2 linked regions of the Nothobranchius furzeri genome follow. The protein of the gene in region 1 binds, or shares a complex with, the protein of each later gene. Links are inferred from orthologs where the notes say so. Each region holds a gene or a part of one and is shown on either strand. Other genes may lie near its edges.

Evidence for each region.
Region 2: gins4 (region 1) and mcm4 share a complex: the UniProt entries of both Homo sapiens proteins name them as parts of the CMG helicase complex. The link is inferred for Nothobranchius furzeri from reciprocal best matches to the Homo sapiens genes GINS4 and MCM4.

Annotation. Positions count from the first base shown.
Region 1 is NC_091757.1:38,273,281-38,277,581, reverse strand, and holds the start of gins4 (DNA replication complex GINS protein SLD5), read right to left. Parts: upstream 2,857-4,301; 5' UTR 2,566-2,856; coding exon 2,470-2,565; intron 2,352-2,469; coding exon 2,265-2,351; intron 1,409-2,264; coding exon 1,295-1,408; intron 1,211-1,294; coding exon 1,113-1,210; intron 1,040-1,112; coding exon 951-1,039; intron 846-950; coding exon 755-845; intron 639-754; coding exon 542-638; 3' UTR 534-541; intron 271-533; 3' UTR 1-270. UniProt on the Homo sapiens protein: Required for correct functioning of the GINS complex, a complex that plays an essential role in the initiation of DNA replication, and progression of DNA replication forks.
Region 2 is NC_091751.1:50,642,732-50,647,305, reverse strand, and holds the start of mcm4 (DNA replication licensing factor MCM4), read left to right. Parts: upstream 1-1,744; 5' UTR 1,745-1,839; intron 1,840-2,582; 5' UTR 2,583-2,596; coding exon 2,597-2,660; intron 2,661-2,748; coding exon 2,749-2,907; intron 2,908-2,991; coding exon 2,992-3,155; intron 3,156-3,233; coding exon 3,234-3,335; intron 3,336-3,404; coding exon 3,405-3,500; intron 3,501-3,570; coding exon 3,571-3,666; intron 3,667-3,750; coding exon 3,751-3,889; intron 3,890-3,997; coding exon 3,998-4,218; intron 4,219-4,327; coding exon 4,328-4,448; intron 4,449-4,574. UniProt on the Homo sapiens protein: Acts as a component of the MCM2-7 complex (MCM complex) which is the replicative helicase essential for 'once per cell cycle' DNA replication initiation and elongation in eukaryotic cells.

The sequences.
Region 1 (4,301 bases):
CTTTAGTTGTTTTATGATTTAACAGTAAAACATCCAAAAATAGCATCACAAGCATCCCTCCCCACGGTGTCATGAATGTTATCTACATTCAAATCACACAAGTTAGTCCTTTCTCCAGATGATAAAGAATCAGTTTGTGTTTCCCGGTTTTATCTGTGTGGTTTCAACAGACTAAACTGCCTTTTTTTCATTACAACTCCAGCAAAAACAAATATATACAAGTGCTGAAATGTAGGATCTCCTGGAGTAAAAAAACATCCTCAGCAACACCTGCAATGTAAAAATAAGTGTTAGTTGCATTTCGTTGCCCATTGTAATTACAGAACTGTCAATTTTAATCCACAGCCAACCTAAATACTGCAGTTTTCTTTGTTGCCAAGAGATAAAACAGTGGAGCTAAAAATAAATTCAGATTTCACAGCAAAGAGTTTGCTTATGTAACATCTGCAGAGTGGAATTAGCGGATGTCTATGCAAGAGAGGTCATGAATGAGTTAACGAGATGTGTTTTTTTTATAACGGATCTCAACTCACCCTGATTTTCAAATCAGCTGCACCGCTCCGTTTGACACCAGCGGCGCTACGGTGCGGTATCGCATCAAATGCTGCGAGCCCTCTTCCAGATCCACAATATATTCTCTGACAGAAGAGGTGTTATTTTTCAGTATTTATACCTTAAACATGTCACTAGGTGTACAACGACAACACTGCCACCTACTGGATACTGAATGAACAGCAACCATGAGGAGAACTACCTCTGATCGTCGGTTTCAGGCTCCACCAAAATATTTTCCTGTTTCTCCTTCACTCGCAGAAACACAAAGGAGTCCAAGCAAGGCTCGGGCACTGGAATTGGATCAATCACAGGATTTAGTGCATCAGCCCGTGTGTGTGTGTGTTGCAGTAAATGCCACAAATGGCAATTTCCAAGGAAGCAAATATAATGTTTACCTGCTTTGAGCAGATCTACAGTCTGTAAGTTGAGTGGCATTCGCTTCAGCGCTACAGCCTTTAGGTAGGTTTCTGTGTTGGTGTAATACCTGCACACAACATTAAAATTAGTTTTTATTATTAAAATCCTAAATCAAACAGTTGACGTCACTCTATGCTCACTCTTTAGCAAAAGCAAACTCCTCAGGAGAGAGCAGAGATGGCTGTCCTTCCACTCGAGACTTCTCCCTCTCCAGGACGTGAGGAAAGAACTTTTCAATCTGAACACAGACAGCGTGACAGATCAGTGCTTTTTTTAAAGGTAAAAGAGAAACCGCGTAGATCTTTACGTTACTTCGACTGACTTTTTGCAGACGAGAGCGCAGGTAGCTGCTGAGGACAAAGCGGATCCTGTCTATTTCCATTCGGTGGAAGCTGGCTTTGGCATCACCTTTCTTTACCCGTTGCAGGTTTGATTCCTGTTTGGGGAAATGCCACAAAAAATAAATAAAAATTTATTTTAAAAAAAACACTACAAATAACACAGATCTGGAATATTAAAGAGCCACAGTAATCTAATGTCAGGATTCCAGTAGATAAATATCCTGATAGAAGAGAAATAAAAGCAAAAATTTCACCTTGAGCTCTTAGAAGACACAATTTTACACACCCTGGGGTCAAAATTCACTTGTAAGTCGCTTTGGACAAAAGCGTCTGCTAAATACATAAACATAAACATAAATATAAAGGTCAACTCTGAAAATAATCTACTTGTATTAGTTTATTATGTAAAATGTAATCACTGCATTAGTAAAGCATCTCCTTTAAAGTCTAGAGTAAAGCAGAAACAGGAGCTAATGATCAAAACGCTTCGTTTTTTTTTTACCACAATAAGAGAACATAAAGTATTGTTCCCACGCCTGCTTCAACAAACACTTTGAGGTTGTTTCTAGTAATTAGTCAAACACAAATCTGTTTTTCACACAGGATAATCTGACATAATATTTGTTATCGGCAAGCATTTAAATCATCACTTCACTAATCTAATGAATAGTCAAAGCAGTTTAATGTAATTAAAGGCAGAATCAGCATCAATTATTTAAATATAAATCTTTATTTTGATGCTTGTCTTATTGATTAATTTGGTATAACTAATAGAAACTAATCTAAATAAATGTTAAATATGATGTTAGTTTAGTTTCGTGTGTTTATTTTCTCCGGTATGCTCTGCTGTCTACAGCGTTTCCACTAAACAGCCAGCACTTGTTGAACATGAAACTAGAGAGTGATTGTGTGTGTTACAGAGAATCTGAGAGGTATTCCCCAGGTAGTTACCATATGAGTCAGCTGCTCCATCACACACTCCACCACCTCGGACTTGTTCTCCAGCAGCTCTGGGGAGAACTTCTCGTTCAGCCAAGCCTGCGGGTCACAAACACACCTGTAAGGCACAGCTGGCACAACATTAAAGCCAGGAAACAGCAGACCCAAAGACCCACAGTTCGACTTAAAACGTGATAAATCAAATAAAAAGACTCACTTCTTCTAGTTTAGCTATCAGCTCCGCCGGAGTCATGACATCCTGGCTGTCATCTTGGTTGATGTCGCTGCCGTCATCCGACAACGCGTCCGACATGCTTTCACTTTATAAGGTACGCTAATTAAATACTGCTGTTTTAGAAACGATATTGTTTTGGCTTCAAATAACAAAATGGGAAACTTAAATAAAAGTAATAAAACGAGTTTAGCTACACAGTCGTCCCTGAAGCTTCTGCGGTGCAAAATGCTCTTGTTTATTCGCGCCACTGGCGTTCTCGCGAGAGTTGTATTTTGTTCAAAAACCCCGAATTTTGACTGTAAGGCCAAGTCTTTCCCGCAGCCACAAAGATCAATAAAATACAAAAAAATGTAAATAGAAAAAGGCAGTATTTTTGAGATAAGAGAATGTTTTCTTATTTACTCTAAAGTGATTACTCACGTAATATTAGTCAGGTCATTCTGACCTGTCCGAAATGCATAACGAAGGGTAAAAAAATAACAACGCAGGGTTCTCTGGATTTCCTGCAAATAAAATAAAATGTTTTTGAACAAGCTTTTATTATAATAAGGAATTATAATAACATAACAACATTAATAATAGTAACATCAACAACAGTTAATAATAATAATAATAATAATAATAATAATAATAATAATAATAATAATAATAATAATAATAATAATAATAATGTTATTTGTATGGTAATTGTGTTTCATTTTTGATGTTGACTAAATAACATGAAAATAAATATTAAGTGGTCATTCATTACCATAATGAATTAAAATATTTGTTATTTTAATAACATGAAATTGGTAAAAAGCCATTTAAAAAATATGTACCGAGGTTTGCATGTTTTATAAAGCAGTATGTCAGATTTCCCATTCATTTAACAATGTCCAATGTTTATATACAACATTTAGTCTAAAGACATATCTACTTGAATATTGTTTACTATCTGTAGTACCTCATATTCATAGAATGAATATTCAAAATTCTGTCCTCCTCCTACCAGGGCTCAAATATCTCAAAACTATGATTACTGAACTTCCACTAGGTCACCCACGGTCTCTCTCACACACACATGCACACACACACATACATTTTTCAACATACCATCTCTTAGTCAGTCTTGCCCTGCATTTGAAATAAGTTCCATCATCTGCTTGACTTGTTGCATCTGTTTCCAGATAACAGTGGCCTGAGGGCTAATCTCATTTGTATGATTTCCTCTTTCTATTTCCTCCTTATTGCTCTCAGAGCATTTGTTCTACTGATGATTTTGCATTTGCCATGCAAACCTGTTGTTATAGTAGGCCTACTGACAATGAGCACCACTGACCACAGCTGGCACCCATAACTCTGTTCTAAATGAAACCTGCAGGGTCAAAACTGTGCAGATGGAGGATTGTTTTACACTGAAAAGTTTTTATTGCACAGATTTTTGATTGCATTTGTCATTTTTATTTAAATACATTAAAAACAATAACATTTGCAATAACTGTTTCTAGAAACTGTAACACTGGTATTAGATACATAAAGCATTTGTCACTGCATACATTTTTACAGATTTTACCATACAGTACTCAATGGGGGGTAAAAAACAGAATAAAGACAAGTGCAATGGAAGATGAGTGATGTATAACTGATGTTTTGACAAAATGGGATAATGTGAAATAACACCACAGTATGAATATACATCCATCCATCTAAATGTTTGCAATAGTGTAACTGCAAGAGAAATTATGCATAGTTGTTTTTTAAATAATGCACCAACAACAATCCTCTTTAACCATCACTACACCACCTTTATTTATTTTTGAATATTCTCATCA
Region 2 (4,574 bases), on another chromosome or scaffold:
CTCATTATCATAACCCGTTAATAAAGTCAAGAGATTTTTCATTAAGCTATTTAATTTCTGGTTTGAATGGCTAATATTCTAACAACTCAAAATATCCTTAATTTATCATCTCTGTTGTCATTGTACAATAACTAAGAGTTAAATTTTGGAGAGCTACACGGCTACTAAATTCAATATTTGTGAACATTTATAATTTCACAAAAGTAATAAAATTATTCTATTTATTATATAAGCTACTGGCAGGCATTAACTCAAGTTGAAGCTGTTAACGTCGTTTTTCTGATGATCTCAAATGGTTGTTTCTGTCTGAGAGGCTCTCCTAAATCACCGACAGGCCGACACTTCTCGGAAATGTTTCTCATGGTTTCATCTTTGGAAGTTTGTAGTACTTTTCCTCTGATGCTTCCCTCTGGTGTGGAAAGTGCGCCACACGGTGGTTGTATTTGTACCTGCAGATCACACTTACTTCGAACATTTGATTTTCTTCCTCTTCAATTAAGAGCACATTTAACTGTTATGTCTCATGGTTAAGTGCTCACAGACCACCGTGTAATCAGCACATCACACCCACACCATCGCAGCAACATCATCATTTAATCAACAAACAGACCTCTCTTTAATCCCTATTTTGTAAAGCAATAATATAATTTATTCTAGTACTAACTGTATTCTTAGTCTTCTCTAAGTGTATGTGCTGCTGTAGCAAGGTAATTTCTCCACTGTGGGACTATTCTATTCTACCAACACTATTGGTCTGTATTGCATATTTTGAACCAGAAGATGGCGGAAGTCCTCTGAAATCCAACCAATACAACAAGAAAGTGAGCTATTTAGCCCTAGTATTATTTCAGTTATTGATTAAATAATTTCTTGCAGAACATGTAGTCATGCTATGACATAATTAAAGTATGCTGTCTTAATAAATGCAAAAAGGAAATATCCAAGCTAGACCACACATATGTTGAGTTTCTGTCTAACACGAAAATCGGACCTCAAGAGACTCACGGAAATTCAGAAATTGGTATTTATTTGTTTATTTTTATTATGTTTTTCAGACAAGTTAACAACTTGCTGTACAAGTTTCAACACCTGTTGTTAGCTAATTAAACATACCGATCAGATTTCTCCTCTGTAAAAAAATATATATTTCTAAATTCATTAATCAAGAACTTTTCATAAGCTATAAATCATTTATGAACATATTAATTAACCACCAATAATTAATTCCAAGATACATTTCAGAAACTGGGTAAGAATGGAAACTTAGTCATAAACATTACTTTAAAAGGTCAATAAATTCAATAGTTTTGGGCCAAAGTCTCAAAGTCTCCATAAGTTAGCCAAACGTTGTAAAGCCGTATTAGGATAAGAAATGACGTAAAATGTTGTAATGAAAGATAACAGTGAAAATCCCATTTTCACAATCAGCTGTCCGTTTAAATCTGTAGCCTGATTATATAATGACCATAATAACGCACTTTTGCCATTTCATGTTTCAATCGCAAGAAAAAGTCGCTTCCTGTTGGACGAAACCAAATCAGCTAGGAGGCGTGATCAACAAAACACTTCACGTAGGATTCACAAAACAGGCTGCGAACATTAACATGAATAAAACAAACGTTTTAAAATTAATTTGATAGTTTTTTGGATTATGTAAAATTGTACAGTTATTAATGAGCAGAAAGGAGCAAAACTTAACCGTACACACCTCTGAAGTAAAGGAGTCGGCCGGAAACGGGAGGACAGTCCTTACTTTTTATTGGCTGAAAGTTCCCCGCGAAATCTACGTCAGCAGCAGATTCGCGCCACAACTGCGGCACTCGGACATACACAAAAGTGGTAAGAAAATCAGTAATTCTTCAAGTTAATCCTTGTTAAATCGGTAGGTAGCTTTTCAGTAACTGTACGCTTTGGCAAACAAGCTCATCTTAATTGCGAGCAAATGTTTGGGTTTTGTTTTTATTTAAGTCACATTTAACTCGCAGATCCAGTGAAATCCAACAGGCAGGGAGGTTCATTATTGTCTGTGCAGCCACATGTCAAATGGTGTCCAAAGTTAGCATAAGTGGCTCTAAAACTAACGGATGAGCATAGAACACCTTTTATTGAAGGAAAATGTTAACGTGACCAGATAAGTTGAGTCTGTTAATGAAGTTTGTAGGTCATTTTTGCCGCTAAGCGAGATTTTTCTGACTGTCGTGGTTTGACACTGCAGAGTTCTGTGTAGTTGTCTGACAATCAAGCGATTTCTATTTGAACCGGCCACCAATAGGAACCAGTAATAAACTGCCTACAGTTTAACCAAAACTCTCAGCATGTCAACTTGTTACTATTTAAAGTAAAAACTAAATTCTGAAAGTATTTGGTTGAATGTTAATTTAATTGGATTTAAGGAAATATCAACATGATGACTCCAACGCGTAGAATGGAGAAATTGTACAGAAACTGTTGGCAGTTTTTGATTATTTTTTTACGAAGCTTCTTTCATCCAAACAAAACATGCATCGTGAAAAGAAATGTATTGATCAAGTCTGAACATAAAAACGCTTAAATCACCCTAAGTCTTGTTTTTTGTCATGCAGATATCCCATCAGCCATGTCTTCCCCTGCATCGACTCCTGGTGGCCGCAAACGTGGAAGGAACACCAACCCTTCCACTCGTACGCTCATTTACATGTTCATCCCTGTGATGTGATTTATTGTTGTGAAGCATGCTTTGTTTACTTTGATGTTCTGTGTAAATCTCAGCGCTTAGGGAGGACCCAACCTCGCCTCCCTCTCAGCGACGCAGAGGTCAGGACTCCTCCACTGGTGACCTGATGCCTATGCCCACCTCTCCAGCCACAGACATGGCCAGTCCTGCAGCTCAGCAAGACACCTCCCTGTTCTCGAGCCCGCGGCCTTCAGGTATTTCATAGTTTTATTCTTTATGACCTTTTATAGAATAAAACTGAAATGAGATTATTAATCTGTTTGATGGGATTGCTACAGTTCTGCCTAATGAAGTGGACATGAGCTCCCCTCTGATGTATGGGACCCCGAGCTCCAGGGTCGAAGGGACCCCGCGCAGTGGAGTGCGTGGAACACCGGCCAGACAACGACCTGATCTGGGATCAGTCAGGAAGGCTCCTCAAGTTGATCTTCATTCTGATGCAGTCAGTAGAAGAGCAAGTTTAATGTTTTCAAATCCAGCCTGAAAACAGAGAATCTAAACATTCATTTTTATTTTTCAGCCAAGTGCAGATGGTGTTGCAGCAAATGAACCAAATGCAGCCCAGAGTCTGGTGATCTGGGGGACTGATGTCAACGTGGGAACCTGCAAGGAGAAGTTCCAGGTATGACCGTAACTGATATGTGATGTCTTTTTATTAGAACAAGTCTTTATGATCTTTTTGTGCTTTCAGAGGTTTCTGCAGCGGTTCATCGACCCAAATTCTACTGAGGATGAGAACGCTGGTCTGGACTTAAATGAGCCTTTGTACATGCAGAAGCTGGAAGAGGTACTCGCTGGTTCTACCGTGATCCTGCAGATCGTGTTCAGGTATTAACTTTCATGTCTTCGTCTCTCAGATCAGCGTTGTGGGTGACCCCGTGATAAACGTCAACTGCCAACATGTGCAGTCCTTTGACGCAGACCTGTACAGGCAGCTCATCTGCTACCCACAAGTATGGTAGTTCCGTTTAAACTTTAAAAATGAGAAAAAGTAAATTATTAAAGTGGGAAACATCCTGTTGTGTATTTTTTTGCAGGAAGTTATCCCGACCTTTGACATGGCCGTCAATGAGCTTTTCTTTGAGCGTTTCCCAGATTCCATTCTGGAGTACCAGATCCAAGTTCGCCCCTACAACGCCCTGAAAACCAGAAACATGAGGAGTCTGAACCCAGAAGGTGTGTGTGTGTGTTCATTAATTCAGGCCCAGATGAGCACATGCAAAACCTCCCATCCCATATTTTGTGTGGGGTTTCTGTGAACACTAACGCTTGTCGCCCCCACAGACATCGATCAGCTAATCACCATCAGCGGCATGGTGATCCGCACCTCGCAGCTCATCCCAGAGATGCAGGAGGCCTTCTTCCAGTGCCAGGTGTGCGCCTTCACCGTCCGCATGGAGGTGGATCGCGGCCGCATCGCCGAGCCGGGCGTGTGTCGCCACTGCAACAACACCCACAGTCTGGCGCTGATTCACAACCGCTCGGTCTTCTCTGACAAACAGATGGTGGGAGTTTGATGCTTCATGGTGACATCATCATCTGAATGTGGCAGGTGGTACTTAGTGATGCGTTGACAGATTCTGACATCTGTTCATTCACTGATCTTTGCAACAGATCAAAATTCAGGAGTCTCCCGAAGACATGCCGGCCGGGCAGACGCCTCACACCACGGTTGTGTACGCTCACAATGACCTGGTTGATAAAGTTCAGCCTGGAGACAGAGTAAACATCACCGGTAAGACCTCGAACTCATCCCTGCAGGAATAAACGTCACAATAATTCCCTTGGAACATTCAACCTGAGAAGATCAGTTCACATTTCACTTGAGTGCATCGACTTTTTAAGGCTCTGATCTCTTTGT